Caenorhabditis elegans: one gene and its partners. The protein of the gene in region 2 interacts with the protein of the main gene of each other region in a pairwise test. Each region holds a gene or a part of one and is shown on either strand. Other genes may lie near its edges. The genes, in order: cpf-2, zfp-3 and Y61A9LA.3.

Region 1 (4,307 bases), on a different chromosome or scaffold from region 2:
ATTGGTCGGCTATACAACAATGTGAGGGCATTTCGATGAACCTAATCTCTACGATGAATGGAAATTTGGAAAACTTCAAAGATCTGGAACACCTTGAACTCAGTGGCTGTTCATGGTTCAGAGCGGAGCATTTTCGAGCATTGGAGGCAAATCGTGTTTCTCTTTATTGCTTAAACTTCACTGTTCAAGACGTGAATACTATTCTCAGAGATTGGACCCGAGGATCAAATGCGAAATTGGAAAATTTGATTGTTCATTCGAAAGAGATTGATGGAAGAGTTCCAGGGCAAATTCTGGAAGGTCTCGATGTGAAACCATGGAACCACGAACAACGGCAGAAAATTTTCCCGTAAGTTTTCAAAAGTTTCCTGAAAGTTGCAAATTAAATTCTGTTTCAGAAAAGAAGAACCATTCCAATCATTAAACTGCGAGAAAGCGATGGATTTTGAACGAGCCGATGGTCTTCTCGCTTCTGTGATCATTAACGATAACGAGGTTGAGATGGTGGTTTGGCATAAAAGATTCTCCGACCAAGAGCCGATGGAAGAAGATTGAATTTTCATTTAATTTTGTTGCAATAAACCAAATGTTGAATTTAAAAATGTGATCTTCATGAAATCGATAGTTACAAAACGGAAAAATTAGAATTAAAAGCACAAATACTCGAGAGACGAGATCCATATTTACTTGACATTTCTCTTCAACTGCTGTCTCAGCTCTATTATCTTCTCACGATCCCCAGCAGGAAGCATCTGAAGATCGTGCTCGCTGAGCTGCATGACTTGCATCAGAAGCTCCGCATTTTGCTGCTCTTCTTGATGATTTTGTTGTGGCTGCTGAACTGGAGGTCTCATCTGAACTGGTGGCTGCTGCTGTGGCGGTGGCTTGTACTGCTGTGGAGCCACTGGTTGCCCGTAATTTTGACCGTATTGAGGAGCTTGCGGATGTCCCATAGGTGGACCCATAGGTGGTCCCATCGGAGGACCCATAGATGGGCCAGGATGAGCAAATGTTGGCTTCGGTGGCATCGGCATCTGTTGTTGCTGAACCATTGGCGGTGCTCCTTGAGGTGTATTATGGAATGGTGTCAGCGTGGCGGCCTTATTACGATGAAGGAGTCCAAGTGCAGTCTGTGGATCAACGATTCGCATGACAACGGCGGCTTGGAGCACCGCGTAGGCGATTTGTGGATGCTCGACCAGGAATTTGTGTAGTTCCGATGGATTGTTCTTCAGCGATTCTTGCAGTTGCTTCATTAGTTCGAACATTTTCTCCGGAGCCAGGGAGGCGACTGTTTGGGAGATTCTCTAAAATTTGTGATTTGAGAAAGAAAATGAGCTCGATAATGCATATTTAGGCCCTATTTCGTCATTTTTGAGCATTTTCTATTCATTTTTGTGCAAATACGACTATTTTTCATCATTTTTAAGCTTAATTTGAGACAATTCATTACGAAATTCTTACAATTGAGCTCATTTTGAGACTATACGTTCAGAATGACTAAATAAGCTTAAAAATGACTAAACAAGAGCGAAGTTTGCCAAAAAATAATAAAAATGATTAAAATTTGGTCGAAGAGAACCAAAAATTGTTTTAAAAAAGTACGAAAATTACAAAAAATGACCAGTGTAGGTCATTTTGGAAATTTCTGGCGAATTTCGGTCATTTTCATTCATTTTTGGGCATTTTTGGGCATTTTCAGGCCAATTGCAGTCATTTTCGAGCCGATTTCAGTCATTGTTGAACATTTCAGGCCAATTTCGGTCAATTTTGGACATTTCAGGCCAATTCCGGTCATTTTTGGACATTTCAGGCGAATTTTGGCCATTTTTGGATATTTCAGGGAAATTTCTGTCATTTTCAGGCCAATTTCAGTCATTCCTGAACATTTCTGGCCAATTTTCGTCATTTTTAGACATTTCAGGCCAATTTCAGTCATTTTTGGACATTTCAGGCCAATTTCAGTTATTTTTTAGACATTTCAGGCCAATTTCGCTCATTTTTAGCTACCTCCGGTGCTTTTCCAGCATCACACTCTGGACCATACGGATTCTCTTCGACAGGAGCTGGAGCATTACTCGATGAGCCGAATTCTTCCATATTCATTCCACCAGCAGCACTGTCGACTCGCAAAATACGTCCACTCAGCTCGTAACTGAACATTTATTGAATAAATAATTTATTTTTCAAATATTTAATACCCATTAAGGTTTCGAATTGCAACTTCGGCGGTTTGAATGTCTGGAAATTCAATAAATCCGTATCCCTTTGGCTTTCCGGTCTCCCGATCGTGAACCATTTTGATCGACAACACATTTCCTGCCTGAAAACTTTTTTTCAGTATTTTAATTGGAAAGAATAAAATAATAATTACCTTTGAAAAAATGGAGCGAATCGTGTCTTCGGATACATCGTAGCTAATGTTTCCAACTGAAAAATGCGAAAATTACGTTTTTTTTTCGAAAATTCACAGTTTCCTACCGAAAACTGAACGTTGAGATCGATCATTGCCCACTCCGGATGATTTGTATCCCCCGGACATCATTTTTCAACCTGGAAATTGAAAATGAATAAATTAAATCGTCGATAAATCGATAAAAGCATTTAAGGAGTTGGAAACTGCACAGAGAAAAAACTATTCGAAAATAAATCGCGTGCCGCACACTTGCGAAAACTGCGCGCCCGCATTGCATATTCGTTGCCTCTAGCTCCACCCACATTTTTTGTGACGTCACAGCACAAGCAAAGTGACCCTCCGAAAATGACCGATTTCCGCGGAAAAAGACGGAAATTGACATTGATTCTTGTTTGACACACATATTGATTGACAAAGATTTCGTATTTCGTCAAAAAATGATATCTTCTGCATAATTTTTATTATTACACATTCTTAAAAATCGGGTACTACTCATTTTTCTTACGAAAAACTTTAAAATTCGAAAAAAAATGTCTTCTCATGAATAACAGCTTGTCTCTCCGACTATATTTTTCACATTTCCGCCAATATTTTCAGTTTTTTTTTTTTTTAGTTTTTCGCCGTTTGATTTATGAGCCAATTTCGCGCATTTTGATTGATGGGAACAGCGTTGACGTGGGGTGTTAGTGTTCCCGAGAGATGCAGAGTATATATTTTATTTTGTTTTATTTAGTTGAAATGACAAAATTCAAATAATTTTTTTAGTTTGAAAATATTTTTTGCCTAGTTTTTCCACTTCGAAACACCGCATAAACTAGTTATACCTGATGCCTGATGTTTGGTAGTTTTCTATTTTGGGAGTATTTGGAACTAATTGAAACGAAACATTTTCTATTTAAAAAAATTTATCAAATAATTCTTCCACATGTTTTCCAACCCTTTTTTAGACCAGCCGTTGAATTTTCAATAAATCGCTTCGAGATCTTCGATTTGACGACACACTGAAAATAGTGCTCTTTTCGAAATGGAAATTCAATAGCGCTCCACTGCCAAACTAAACTTATTGGGCGCAAAGCAGTAATTTTAAAGAAATTTCCAGCTTCGAGTTTTGGAGACCGTAACAAATCTTCCAAAAATGCAAGGAAAATTCTGAAAATGCGTATTGCGCACCATATTTGACGCGCAAAATATCTCGAAGCGAAAACTACAGTAATTTTTAAATGACTACTGTAGTCCTTGTGTCGATTTACGGAAATCACTTATTAATCGATAAAATATTAGAAGAAAACATAACAATGACAAAATATTACGAACTATCGATCGAGCCCGTAAATCGACACCAGCGCCACAGTAATCATTTAAAGAATTCGCTCACGAGATATAGTTATATTTTGCGCGTCAAATATGTTGTGCAATACGCATTCTCAGAATTTTGTGTTCCCGTAATATAGTAGTTTCACTAGAATTTGATAGGCCTTCTTAAAGGTGCACGGACTTATTCAGATGGGTCTCGGCGCGCGTAGAAAAGTTTATAGTTAAAAGTTTCTCGTTTTTTTGAATTTTTGCGGCTCCGTCCTTGTTTATTTTTCTTTTAAAAATTCTATTAAAATAGTTTTAACTCAGTTTTCAAATTAAAAAAAATACTACCATAAATTTTTGTTTGTGCTCCGAGACCCATCTAAAAAAATCCGTGCGCCTTTAAAAAGACACACGGATTTCTGGCTTTCCTCATAAATTGAAATGGAAGAGTTTGCCAAACTAGGCCATTTTGGCTCGGCCATATCTGGGGTAGATTTACGGTGCGTTGCGTGTCGCGCCGCGGCTCGGTTTTGGTTGTAAAACTAAATGTAACTGTCCGAGTTGAGTACCCAACTTTCCCACGCGTTGTCCG
Region 2 (8,079 bases):
TTCTTCCGCCACTAAGCTTGGCTCATCTCATCGTGATCCGCTTGCTGATCAAAGCGAGAGCGGAACGTCCGGCGAGGTGGCTGCTCGTCAAATCGATTTCTCCTCGGTGGCCGTTGATCCATATCCTGGCCTGGAGCATCATCTTCTCCCTGTCTATCAAACCTACTGACACGGGCTCTCTTAGTCGGAACGGGATCCTGATACTGGGATCCATGTGCATTTGGGGATCCTAGATGACCGCCATCATCATTGTACGCTGGCTTCTGGTCGAATCTCGAGTTGTTCCGAGGAGCAAAGCCTCCACGAGCATATCGTGCTCCACGGAATCCTTCAGTGTCGCCAAATCGGCCACGGTTTCCGCCTGCATTGTCTCTAAAGTCGCGGTCGTGGTGGTTGTTGTAGTTGTTGCGATTGTTGTAGCCTCCACGGAATCCGCGGCCTCGGCCACCTCGGAAGTTGTCGTGGTGATGATTTGGACCGCGTGGTGGGAGCTCTGCCATCTTTTGACGTCTCTGAAAAAGAAATAAGTAAGAATGGAAAAAAAATAGCTTCAAACTGCCACTTACCATCTCCTCGTCATGAATAAATCTGCACTGATCTCCCCGATTACATCCACCCGGGCGGCTGATAAAGTAGACACATGGCTCTGGAATCTTCCAGCCGGATTGAGTCCATCCTTCCGAGTTGCGAGAGTCCTGGCGACGCTCCTGAGCCATCATCTCTGGAGTTGCAAATGTTGCCTGAAATTTTAGACTGTTGCTAATGTATAAATAAGGAGGACTTGGACCAGCGTCGTGTAAAAGTGGGCCGATACCGGGCCTGTCCCGTTTTTGAAGTAAGCTTCCATGGGCCCACACATTTTTAAAGCGGGTCGGACCATTTCAAGCAATTCCAGCCCGTTTTTAAAAGCGAAAAAAACTCACGACATATCCATCCATTGGATAATCTTGCGGCACTTCTTCACTTGCATACGTGTTCCCCTGCTGGAGCATCATCTGCTGAGCAGTCTGCATTGCAGCCGCCAGTGGATCAACCGGCGGTGGAGCTGAAGTCGTCGGCGAAGGAGTCTCATCCGACGAGACGAACCCCTTCTTCTTGAGCTGGTTGAGCATCTCCTTGAGGTTCGATGGAAGCTCGAATCTGCTGGCAGGCTGGGCTGCTGGAGCTGGCTCCGGGGTCTCCGGGACAGAGGTGGTGGCCGTGTAGTAGTTGGTGACCGGTTCCGTTTCCTGGAACACTTGCTGGATGTGTGGAGTCGGCGTCTGGTGGGCTGATTGCTGCTGCTGCTGCTGTGCGTACATCGGACGTCGAGGGTTCTCCGGGCGTTGGCTATGGTAGAGTGGCAACGTGTGGAATCCCTGGTTCGGCTTGACCTGAAGCAGCAAATCTTGTGGACGAACACGTGGCGGACGGCCCGGAAGTGGCAAATCGCGGATAGTGGCGAGAGTGGTGGGCTCCGATGGAACACTGACGGTTGGGATGATGGTCGGCGTGTAGTTGGCACGGTCGACAGCTGCCTGCTCGTTAAGCGCTGGGTTGTCCTCGAGTTGGCACATTCTGGAAACGCAAAAAATTTAAAAAATTTTTATTACAGGTCAATATATGCCTAAAAACTTACCCAAACATGGCCCCTCTCATAATTCCTTCCTCTTCGATACGTCTTTCTTCCCGTAGGCCCGACTCTGACATTTCACTGCGCGCCGGTTTGGACCGCTTCACCGGCACCAGCGACCACTCGACATCCTCAAAAACTTCCATCTCCTGGCCAAACGCGGCGGCCTCATTTCGCTCCGAACACCGATAGTCGGCAACATTCGAGTGGACTGAAAGAAGAGGCGCATTAGTTTTAGTGGTAGGCTCTAGTGGCGGCGTACTTGCTGCAATACGTTCAATTTCCTTAACATGCACCAGTGGAAGACCTCGCGTGTCGGCGAAGATGAGGCGACGGGTGCCACGCTGATTGAGGTTGGAGATAGCTGGACCACGGAGAATTCCACGGTTTGGCTTCTGAAAATACTTGAGGGCGATTAGTAATAGTTTTTGCTTGTTTTCAAGAAAGTAGCTGGATCAGAGCTTGCTTGTTCTAAAAAGCCATAATTTTGGGCTCGAAATTCATTTGTAGAATTTTTTTTCCGAACTGTCCAGTACCATGGACGAATTGGCGCGCAATTACACTCAATTTTAAAAGGTAAATTTTCCAAAATTCTAACACCGCCTCATTGAAGCAAATGCGCTCTACCGAAACTGAGCAAGTTTGGTTGTCAAATTCCCGTTGAACGATTTCTCAAAGAGCGGGATCAGAGCACGCTTGCTCCAATAAACCATAAATTTTGAGCTCGAAATTCATTTGTAGAATTTTTGCCCGAACTGTCCAGTACCAAGGCACACAACTCTGCTCAATTTTAAAAGATAAAATTTCAATTTTCCTAGCAGTCGGCGTTTCCAACAGTCTAGCACAGTCTCATTGAAAAAATGCAGATGCGCTCTACCGCCACAAAGCAATTTTAGTTGTCAAATTCCTTTTTTAACCTACCAATTTCAGTGCGGCAAGTCCCGCATCCTCTCCATCATCTGTGGCGTGTCGTTTTCCTGAATAAATCGCCGTCGGCACCGCTGCTGCTGCGGCAACTGCTTCCGGCTTCGGTTTTCGCTTCACAATCCGGATTCCTGGGTTGGATGGCGAGTAGGAGACTGAGCCTGAAAATATTGATTGGTATTATTGAGATTTTCTGGAATTTTGAAAAAAAAAATTAAAGTATTCAAACAAACTTGGCATCAAGACTGAAATGTGCTCTTTCTGAAACGGTATGGGTACGGGGCAGGGGAGACGGGGAAATGGGAACAATTTTGTAAAAGTTTTGAGGCGTTTTAAGGGGTTCCCATTCAAATTGCAAGAAAAAAATCAATAGCGCTAGATTACGTCACCTAGAAATTCCACGTGTTGAAACATCCGTCGAGGTATAAAATTGTCATTTTTTCGAGTTTATGAGCGTCTTTTATTCCGTGTTTTGAATTTTTATCCAAAAATTTTTATAGTCCAAACTTTTTCGCGGCAATCTTTTTATTGATTTCCTTATCAATTTTTTAAAGTAGCATCGTTTTTTTTCCAAAAAATTCCAATTTGTGCGCAATAACTCACAAGGCATATTCCACGGTTTATTCCAAAAATAGAGCGTACTTGTTCATTATTGTGAATTTAAGTTTTGGCCTACAAGGGGATACCAATAGGAAAATTATCTCACCGAGTTTTGCAATTTATCGATTTTTAAAAAATGTTTTGAGTAAAAACAAAAGAATCGTCGTAAAATTTAATACAAAAATTGACAACTGAAACGGCTCTTCATCGGAAACCTCGAAACATTTCAATTTGCAAGCAATTTTCTCTAAAACATTTCTACTAGTAGTAAGTACAGAAATCAGATTTTTGGGAGATCAAAATTTCAAGATTACAACGTTTTAAGCCACTACAAATTTGGAAAAGTCACATTTCTTTGCGAAAAATAAGTAAGTGTTCTTCAGAATTCATAACGCCTAACCTATCCGACTATTACAAAAATTCAGACCATAAATATTAATTTTTTACATTTTCTCAATCGCTGAGCATTCTAGACATTTTCAAAATTCTAGACATCCTTCAAAAATGATCTACTCAAACTTTTCTTTCAAATTCCCAATCAAAAATGTTCAATTTATCGATTTCCGCATTCAAAAACGTCCACGGGCGGCAATTTTTCCAAAATTTCAGCCCGTGCACTTCTGATGATTTTTCTGGAATTTCATATATCTTTCATATATATCTTCTCCGCCATTTTGCTCGGCTCTGCAAACGAAACCACTGTAGAATATTCCATATGAAGCTGAGAGCATCTGCAAAAAAACTCCGGACGCACAAAAAAATAGAAAAAAAGAAGAAATCAGAAACATAGAAAAAACATGGAGAACAACTTATTGGGGAGTCTGAAAAGTGATGGGGATTCACAATTGAGAAGAGGCTTCCATAAGAGTGACCATAGTTCCCGGGTATCCATAGTCTTTTTTTAATAATAAATCTCGGTTTTTGTCCGCTTTTAAAATTACATTTTCCCATTTTTCCAAGACCTTTCAAAATTTTGCTAAAGTTCTGGAGAGTTCTATAATTCATTAAAATGTGAATAGTCGTATCTACGCTACATAGAAATAGGGGCTGGGAAAGTGGGAATCGGCGGGTGGGAAGAGCACATCTCCATCTCATTCCCAAGTGTCGGAGCTTCCATGTACCTGAAATGTGATGTTAGGATACAAATTCTAAAGAGTTTTCCACCTACCTCCATATTTCTGCCGCGTTGTCTGATCCTCGGGCTTCACTGGAGTCGTCTTCGATGTGGATGGCGCGGTGAGTGGTGTCGGTACGTAGACTGCTGAAAATTTGAAATTTAAAATTGAATTTGAACTGCCTATTGGAAATTATTAGAATATATTCAAGGAAGATTCAAATTTTCTTGTATTTTTAGAGTATTTTTTATCTAGAATATCTGGAATCTAGCAGTTTCTTGAAAAAATATCCACCGAGAAAAATGTCGGAACGTAAGAAATATGTCCAGAAGTATAACAATTGTTCAAAAAATTCAAAAGCTATCAGATACATGGAACAAAATTTGCCAGATTGATTCCGGTCTACTCAAAAACTCGGTCAACTTCCAGAACTTACCCGTACTTGCCAAAAAAGCTCCAGTGAGTGAGCAAAAGTCTGCAGCTCTTACTGAAGATATAGAACTTCCCTAAAAATGCCAGAAATCTGCAGAAAGTTAACAGAAAGTATTCAAAAGCCTTCCACATTTTCTTCAAATCCCATAATTTTTCTAGACTTTTCCAAACTTCTAGAAATGTTTTCGAAAACTGTACAACCCTTCAGAACTTGGCACAACTTGCCAGATATTTTCCATGCATTCTTATGTCTTTGTGAACTTTGAATGAATTTGCCGTAATCTTGCCCGATCATCACAAAACTTCCAAAATTCTCCAAAAGACCTCAGATCTGTTCAGGACATTTCTGAAATATTAAAAGTAGTCGCAAGTTTCAATCTAGTTTCAAAAAGCACCATAGACCCCCAAAGTTTAAAACGAAAAATTCCAGCTGTACTAAAATAGTCGGATTCAATTTTTCCAGCATTCTACTAGAGGATAGAAAAAAAAATAGGCCACAGCTTCAGCATAGTCAGCAAGTTGTTCGAAATCAGGCCGTTATCACTTTGTAATAATTGTTTCCCTATCCCTTTTTCTCGCGGAACCAGGACACATCTTATCTTCTCTATAGAAAATACGTAGTCACTGTTCTCAACTTGAAATTAGGCCCAAAGAGGGAAAAAGAGAAGAGCGAGAGCCTATCCTAAATGACTTAAGCTTCTGAGCCTTGAAGTGAAAGCCTAATAATCCAAGAAACATAGCTGGTTCCTGCTAGGTAGAAGCTTGAAGTTTTCCTGCTGGTCCCATATAGCCAAAGTTGAAGTCCAAGTCCAAGTATCTTGACTTCTGGATTCTACTGCTCTCAGCACGTCAGAGGTGCTCCAAGATGCCGAGGGCACTTCAGAACCTGAAAATTCGTGTCCAAAGCCCGGTCATCCCTTTCTGGGTATCCGACCACATCTGGGGCATTTCTGTTCCTCACATTATTTTCCTTCATATTGTGCGGTTAAAACAGAACTCTTTATTTCAATTGTCTCTCTGAAAACGGTTTTTTCTTTTTCGCCAACCCGGAACTGTGTCACAAAGAAAAATGAAAGTGCTTGATATCAAGATTCGAGATCGAAGAAATAGGATGAAGTGGAGAAGAAAATAAGGAACTTGCAAATTAGAATTCAAATTCAAAAATAGTAGAATTCCGATGACTTACCCGGAGAGTCGATGGAGGTGTTCGGGGATCCCACTGCTGGCAGGAAGGCGCCGTCCATTGTCTTGGTCGGGGTGTAGACGTCGGCCATTGGAGACGGTGTTGGTGCGGAGTTGAGCTGCTGGCGGCTTCTGCTGCTTCTGCTTTGTGTAGATTTTCTGGAAATTTTGTAAGAGTTTAATTTGAAGAGAATATTAGTGAATTTAAAAAAAAAAGAGGAAAAATCAAAGAAAATTTTAATTTTAAAAAGTTGAGGGAAACTAGAAGAAAACCAGGAGAAAAAACTCGCCAAAATCAGCCTAATACATTTTCGAAACGCGCAATGTGTGCGGGAGAGTGTTTGTGTGAGCGTGCGTTTCCCTATCGATCGTAGACACAAGAGACCCCCGGCAGTCAAATAGTGAGGAAATATCCCGAGCAGGCAGCCAGAGAGTGGTTAGAGATCGCCCGCAGTCGACGAGAGAGTGCAGGTGGCGAGGGAAAAGAGGCACGAGACGACGAGAGCGTGTATCATGTGGGCTGTCGAATGCGACCACTTGGGTCCCTCACCGATGTCTGCATACACACTGACGACAAGTTGCGGAGCGTGTTTTTTGGAGAATAATGGTTAAATGCATATTGGATATTGATGGAAGTTCATGAATTTTGTGAGTTTTTAAAATTTCAAAGCAATTTTTTTTTTGAATTTGAAGCTCAGCCAACCAAAAACTTATATTTTGAGAAAAGTTTTCAATCGAAAGACCATTCCAGAACAGTTTCACCAGAACAGATTCTAACGACTTTTCATGCAATACTAAAAACTAAAAAAGTTGATAAAAGTTTGTCGATGCACCATGATTTTTGCAATTGCTTCAGGAATTTTCAAATGAAACATAAATTTTTACAGATTCCTTTTTGGCTGGGAGCAGATTGTCAAAAAATCGATAAGACTACAGAAAATCAGTGGAGTTCAGGAAAAATAATTGGTTTTTGAAAATTATTTCTAGCTACATATAAGGGAAAGTATTCGACAGACAGGCTACCCGTAAAGACATAAAGCAGGAGTTAAATGGAATTGTGAGGAAAATTGTCAAACGTGCCAATTTGTTGAAAATCACAGAAATCGATGCACTATGATGTTAGCTTACAGAAACTTGAACCGAGTTTACATGAATTTTTTGGTGAAACAGAAATTTTTTCACTATCCTAGTCAACTGGAAGAATACTGTCGTTTTGAATAAATCATTTAAAAATGCCGTTTGAAAATAATCGAATCCAGACAAAAGTCTTCGATTTTGAGCATTTCTCACAAAAAAGTCCATTTTAGAGATTCTATGAATTAGGTTTACTATTTTGAAATTCACAAACTTTGATGAACCATGATGTTTGCTCTTAAATACGTGGACTAGTTTGTCAGAATCGTTTTACAGAAGGAACCTCTCGGATAAAAGAAAATTGTCAAGATAACGTGGAAGTTGCAGGGAACTACCAGATGTCAGGGAAAATTATTTTGAAGGGACTCAATTGACAATTAGTGCATGAAGGCAGACAATACAGGACTCGAATGATACTTTAAGAGAAATTAAAAAAATGTCGATGCACCATGATGCTAGCTTCCACAAATTTGAACCGCGTTTAACAGAAATTTTTGCAATTTGCTTGCCGGATAAAAGAAGATGAAAAACTTCTAGAAACGCCTGAAAACACTTAAATTGGAATCAAAATCCTGGAATTTTCGAACATTTTTCACAAAAAATCATTTCTTTGGCAATATCCTAGAATAATTTTCTGGAAATTAAGTGATTTAATAACCAATTTTTGATATAAAATTATTTATTTAGAGAAACTTTTCTTCTTTAGTAGCAGTTTTGTATGTAATCTTAAAAAAATGACAGTGAACAGTTGTAAATGAGCAATTCTAAACTGAACGTTCTAGTGTTCAGCATTAAAATTAAAACTTTAGCGTGAAATTTTGATATCCTACAAAAGTTTGCTACTTGTAAAAAAAAAATATAATTTCGATTTAAATTTAAGAGATACTGTCAAAAGCGTCTTAATTTTTTAAATCACAAACCGATGCACCATAAGCTCATTCAACGGGAATTTGTACAGATTTCTTTTTGTCTGGAAGAAAACTGTCAAACAATTGTGTAACATTGTGAGAGATGCTCATAATTCTAAAACGGAAGGAGAAATCTTTAATGTTCATCTTTTGCTAGTTTAATGGAGACAGT
Region 3 (4,972 bases), on a different chromosome or scaffold from region 2:
AACCTCAAAACTTTTTCAGCGGTCTCGTTATGAAAATCAGGTAGTTTCAGCATCTAAACAGCATATGTATAATGTTTCAGAAAAAGTTTAGGTTTTGTATTCCCGTAATCCATCATTTTACATTGACCACTTTCACCGCTGCTTGCCGACTGAATACATAATTTTTTGACTTGGAAATTGTTTTAGCATCTGCAAAAAATATTTGGTTTAATTACCCAAGTTTGAGTTTGAGGTACGCCGGTCAACTGCTGCAGGTCATTGGTCATGTCGGAACCACCTCCTCCTCATTCCGCCCCAGTGCCTATGGTGAAGACGGATTTCTTCGCTTTCTCTGGTCCTTATCTCCCGGAGGACGCTCACGGTACGAGTTCTCCGCCGGAGAAACAACAGCAAACCCGGAAGCGCGGTCGCCCGACCGCTCTTGAATTGCTCACTACCCGTGTTGAAGAATTGGAAAAGGAAAATTCGAGCTTGAGAACCTTCCGTACCGCCGCTGAAAGCAGATGTCGTGCCCTGGAGAGCAAACAATCGGAACTCTTCCAAACCGTCGAGCAGCTCAAGGTAGTTGTTGCCAAGCTCACGAACGAATGCTCTGCCCGTGTTACCTCCAATTTGCCCGCTCCACGCCTGTTCGCCGATGTTCTCAAGGGACAATCAGCCGAGAAGAAAGCAGAGATCATTGCAGAAAGACGTGAAGCAGCAGCCAGCATTTCCCTGTTTGAGAAGAAGACTCATTTCGCCGTGATTGAAAATCTACCGGATGATGGCTCGGATTCACAATCCGCCAAGGATAAGGTTTTTCTCGATAATTTAATTGCCGCTAATCCCTCCCTCCCTGTACATATTCAAACTTTCCGCGTCAAAACTCGCAAACCAGTCTTATCCCGCCCAACAAAAATTCGTTTCTCTTCTGAAGCCGACCGCAATTCGTTCATTTTCTCTTTCTCCAAAACTCTCCGTTCGTTGCCTGATCGCCCCACTAACCTTCCAAGACCCATCCGCTGCAGACGCGATATGACCAACGATGTTATCTATCCTGAGAGAGTTGAGAGCTGACGCTTATAACAGAAATACCCAAGCTGGCGAGATTCGTTATTATGTGCGCGACCTTAAGATTGTGACTCTCTCGTCACCGCGTCCACTTCCTATCTCTGTTGATTCGGCTGCTCCCGTTGCTAACGCATAGGTAAACGGCCACCGGGCTTTATTATCGTCTTGTCCGTCCATTGCTTCTCAAAGTGTGTCTTTCAAAGGTGTAATTTATCGTACGCGTCATACAGTAGCAGGCTTTCCCAATTTAATTTATTGTCTACCCACCATAGACGGGTTCTTCAAATCCTCCGAACCTTCCATAAAATTATTTCAAGCGAGTATCACTTCCCGTCCTTATCATCGTTCGTTCGAGCTTCACGCTCTACTCGTCACCCCTATCTACTTGTTGTCTGTGGCGTCCCGTCTAAATGTTTTCTACATGTTAACTTGTCGTTGTGGAACCGAATAGCAAAACGTTTCCCTAAACTGTTAACTCCAAATGCATTTGCGTCGCGCCTAGGCTCTATCCCATTTGACACCCTCTTCCCCCCAACTTGACCTCCCGGGCTATAGCTGGTCCAATTGGTCATTTTATTTATCTGTCCACACATCTTTTTTATTTTACTTTTTTTCTTTGTCTTCCGGTGTAGCTATTTCTTGTGGCAAATAAACAATTATTATTACTTTTCCGAATTTTTGAATCGCCATCACTTTTTTGAGAAATTTTCGGCAGTTTCGGGCCATTTTGGGTCCAGTCTAAAAACGTACCACTGATAACTTGAATTTCTGGAGATGCAGACCGACTTCTCGCGATTTCCATTTCTCCGCCAATGTGCTCAAAGTCTAGTCTCGGCTGAAACTATTTAATTCGTGAATTTTCATCAAAATCCGAAAAAAAAGTCTAAAAACCAGAAAAACCACATCGCAACCAATCAGCGATTCGCTCCGCCCATCCTTCAACCAATCAGATTGAGTGGGCGGAGTTCGAAGTCGTTGATTGGTCGGGGAATTCTCGTTTTGAAGTCAATTCTCAAAATGAGGATTCCCCGACTTCGAACTCCGCCCACTCCATCTGATTGGTTCAAAGATGGGCGGAGCGAATCGCTGATTGGTCGGGGAGTTTTGGAGGGAATTTCAGCGAAAATTGAGTTTTTAAGTTGGATTTTTTGAACTTTTCGACTCAAAATCGCGCTCCTTACATGTCTGAGCAACGGCTGTCTCCCTTCATTTCTTCCCATCGTCGTCAAATCCTCTCCAAACGGCCCCTTATCGAAACCACGTCTTCTCGAATTATCCACTACGGGTCCATTATAGGTGTCCACCACCGGCTGAAATCCGTGATACGGATCACTTCCTCCAAGAATTGCAGCTCTCATAGAAGGAACCGGCGGGCCAGGACGTCTATCGAAATCGCCACGTCTAGCATCACTGAAAAAATATAAAAAAATGAGTTTTATTTTTTTTTCCCGGAAAATCCGGATTTTTTCATCCTCAGAGGTGAGGTACCGAAATTTGAGACTTTGCTTTTTAGACCCAAAATGGTCCAAAACTACCGAATTTCGTAATGAGACGTTCTGAAAATATTTCAAAAAAAAAGTTATGACCGCTCGAAAATTTTGGAAAAAATGGCCAATTTTTAGCTAAAATCTCAAATTTTTTCCAACTTCTCGGTGTTGCAGCGGTTAGAACTTAATTATTATTTTTTTATCACTTTTTAATAAATATTGTGGTCTTTGATTAGGCGTTTATTCGTTGATTTAAGTACATTTATGGTCAGTGGGGCACAAAATTTAACTTTTATTTGTGCCCCACTGACCATAAATGTACTAATCAATGAATAAACGCCCAATCAAAGACCACAATATTTATTTAAAAGTGATAAAAAAAATAATAATTAAGTTCTAACCGCTGCGACACCGAGAAGTTGGAAAAAATTTGAAAAAAAAACGGCTCACATTGGAATATGCGGAGGAATTATCCGATTTGGAACATGTTCGTACGACGAATGTCGCATGTCTCTAGCTGGAAAAAAAAACCGGAAATTCGTGGACAAGAACGGATTTGAGGAGGAAAAACGAGGGGAGACGCAGACAGAAATGCACGCAGCCACAGAAAATCGATAGTTTTCCACGAAATCAGTCTAGAAATATTTGGAAAAAAATTATTTCAAGGATGGAAATTGCTGGTAAAACTGTGAAAGTGCTTCAAAAATCGATTGAAAATGAAAAAAAATCTAAATATTAAATTTCATTAAATTCTCTCAATTTCTAGTTGTTTTTGGTGATTAAATGAACAAAATATGCATTTTTTCGGCAAAAAAAATCCGAAAATCTGAAATTTTAAGCTCGAAAACCTAAGAAACTCTCTGAAAATCGATAAAAACAAGAAATCATAAATTTCAATCTATTTTCAGTTATTTTTGGTGATTAAATAAACCAAATACACATTTTTCCGGCAAAAAACCCTGAAATCCTCTGAAAATCGATTAAAACTTAAAAAAAAATGAAGCGTCCGTAAAAATAAAGAAAAATCATAAATTCCAGCGATTTTCTTAATTTCTAGTTATTTATAATGATTAATTGAACAAAATAGGCATTTTTCGACAAAAAACCCTTAAAATCTTCAATTTTAACACAGAAAACCTGAGAAATCCTCTGCAAATCGATTAAAAAACACAAAAACCTTTTATGCAAAAATCTGCATTTTGTCGTCACAGTGTGTGCATACTTTACACCGAATCTTACGACAAATAATTGTCGCTGCTGGCATTGTGAGAGAGAAAGGGATACACGTGATTTTCGTATAATTCCGATTCGTTTTCCCTGAATTTTTCTAATTAATTTATTGAATTATTTTAAATTATTGATTTTCTGTCAATTTTCACACAAAAATTGCCGCTGATTTATTCAAAGTGTCGGTTTTTATCCCGTTATTTGAATATTTTCGAAAAACCAGATTATTTGTGGTTTTAGTGATTTTTAGTGAACTTCCGGAAGTTTCTTGAGCCAATATAACTTTGAAATCAGTTTTTAAAGCTTACTATGACATTATTATCTTAAAAATTGGAACAAAAATTGTGATATTTAGCTTATTGATTTTTTTTTGGTTTTCAGATATAATCTGTTCGAAATGAATACTCAAACAGGGACAGGAACCTCAGAAGTGTCGAAAAAACTAAAGGTAACGTTAAATAAGTTAATAAATTTCAAAAATCGCAAAAATTAATAATTTTTTAATTCAGGCCGCGATTCGAGCCAAACTTGAAGAGCTCGGCGTCTACGTGGACGATGAATTACCCGATTATATTATGGTAATGATTGCGAATAAGAAGGAAAAAGTGCAGATGAAGGACGATCTCAACTTATTTATCGGAAAAAGCACTGCGAAATTCGTCGACTGGCTTTTTGATCTGTTCGATCGCCTACAAAACGCTTCGAACAAGCAAGGAGAGACTAGTAAAAAGGAGGAGGATAAGAGAAAAGAGCTGGAAGCAACAGCAGCAGCAAAGGAGCATGAAGAGAAACGAAGAAAAGAGAAGGAAGAGCATGAGAAAGAACTGTAAGTGCCGAGCGAAGGAATAAGAAATAATTAAAAATTGAAAATTTCAAAAATTCCAGGCAAAAAGAAAAAGAACGTGAGAAGGAGCGTCAACGAGAACGTGATCGTGAAAAGCGGGCCGAAGAGGAGAAGCGTCGTGAGGAGAAGAGAAAAGAGATTCAGAGGTAGTTTTCTGATAGAACACAGAATATTTCGGGATCACAAAATTCTGAGAATGCGTATTGCGCAGCATATTTGACGCGCAAAATATCTCGTAGCGAAAACTACAGTACTCTCTCTCTCTTTAAAGGAGGACTAACGGTTCGGACTCAAAATGAGCTCAATCACGCTCTCCTCAAAGCTGATTAATCATTAGAGCGCGCTCCGCCTCTATTTCTGTGCG

The links.
Region 1: the proteins of zfp-3 (region 2) and cpf-2 interact in a two-hybrid assay, tested with the Caenorhabditis elegans proteins (2 studies listed by BioGRID).
Region 3: the proteins of zfp-3 (region 2) and Y61A9LA.3 interact in a two-hybrid assay, tested with the Caenorhabditis elegans proteins (one study listed by BioGRID).

What each region holds. Positions count from the first base shown.
Region 1 is NC_003281.10:13,266,331-13,270,637, forward strand, and holds cpf-2 (RRM domain-containing protein), read right to left. Parts: upstream 2,554-4,307; 5' UTR 2,546-2,553; coding exon 2,482-2,545; intron 2,431-2,481; coding exon 2,375-2,430; intron 2,324-2,374; coding exon 2,202-2,323; intron 2,156-2,201; coding exon 2,011-2,155; intron 1,308-2,010; coding exon 684-1,307; 3' UTR 602-683; downstream 1-601. Other genes in the region: F56A8.5 (F-box domain-containing protein), read left to right, coding at 1-349, 399-555.
Region 2 is NC_003284.9:1,440,620-1,448,698, forward strand, and holds the start of zfp-3 (C3H1-type domain-containing protein), read right to left. Parts: upstream 6,025-8,079; 5' UTR 5,958-6,024; coding exon 5,870-5,957; coding exon of another isoform or gene 5,841-5,869; intron 4,398-5,840; coding exon 4,305-4,397; intron 4,258-4,304; coding exon of another isoform or gene 3,788-4,257; exon of another isoform or gene 2,777-3,787; coding exon of another isoform or gene 2,770-2,776; exon of another isoform or gene 2,698-2,769; coding exon 2,534-2,697; intron 2,017-2,533; coding exon 1,875-2,016; intron 1,824-1,874; coding exon 1,619-1,823; intron 1,558-1,618; coding exon 924-1,557; intron 741-923; coding exon 567-740; intron 513-566; coding exon 12-512; 3' UTR 1-11.
Region 3 is NC_003283.11:4,569,217-4,574,188, reverse strand, and holds the start of Y61A9LA.3 (C2H2-type domain-containing protein), read right to left. Parts: upstream 3,055-4,972; 5' UTR 3,047-3,054; coding exon 2,988-3,046; intron 2,461-2,987; coding exon 2,232-2,460; intron 1,892-2,231; coding exon 1,801-1,891; intron 1,057-1,800; coding exon of another isoform or gene 265-1,056; intron 1-264. Other genes in the region: hpo-39 (uncharacterized protein), read left to right, coding at 265-1,056; sut-2 (Zinc finger CCCH domain-containing protein 14), read left to right, coding at 4,162-4,212, 4,274-4,590, 4,650-4,754.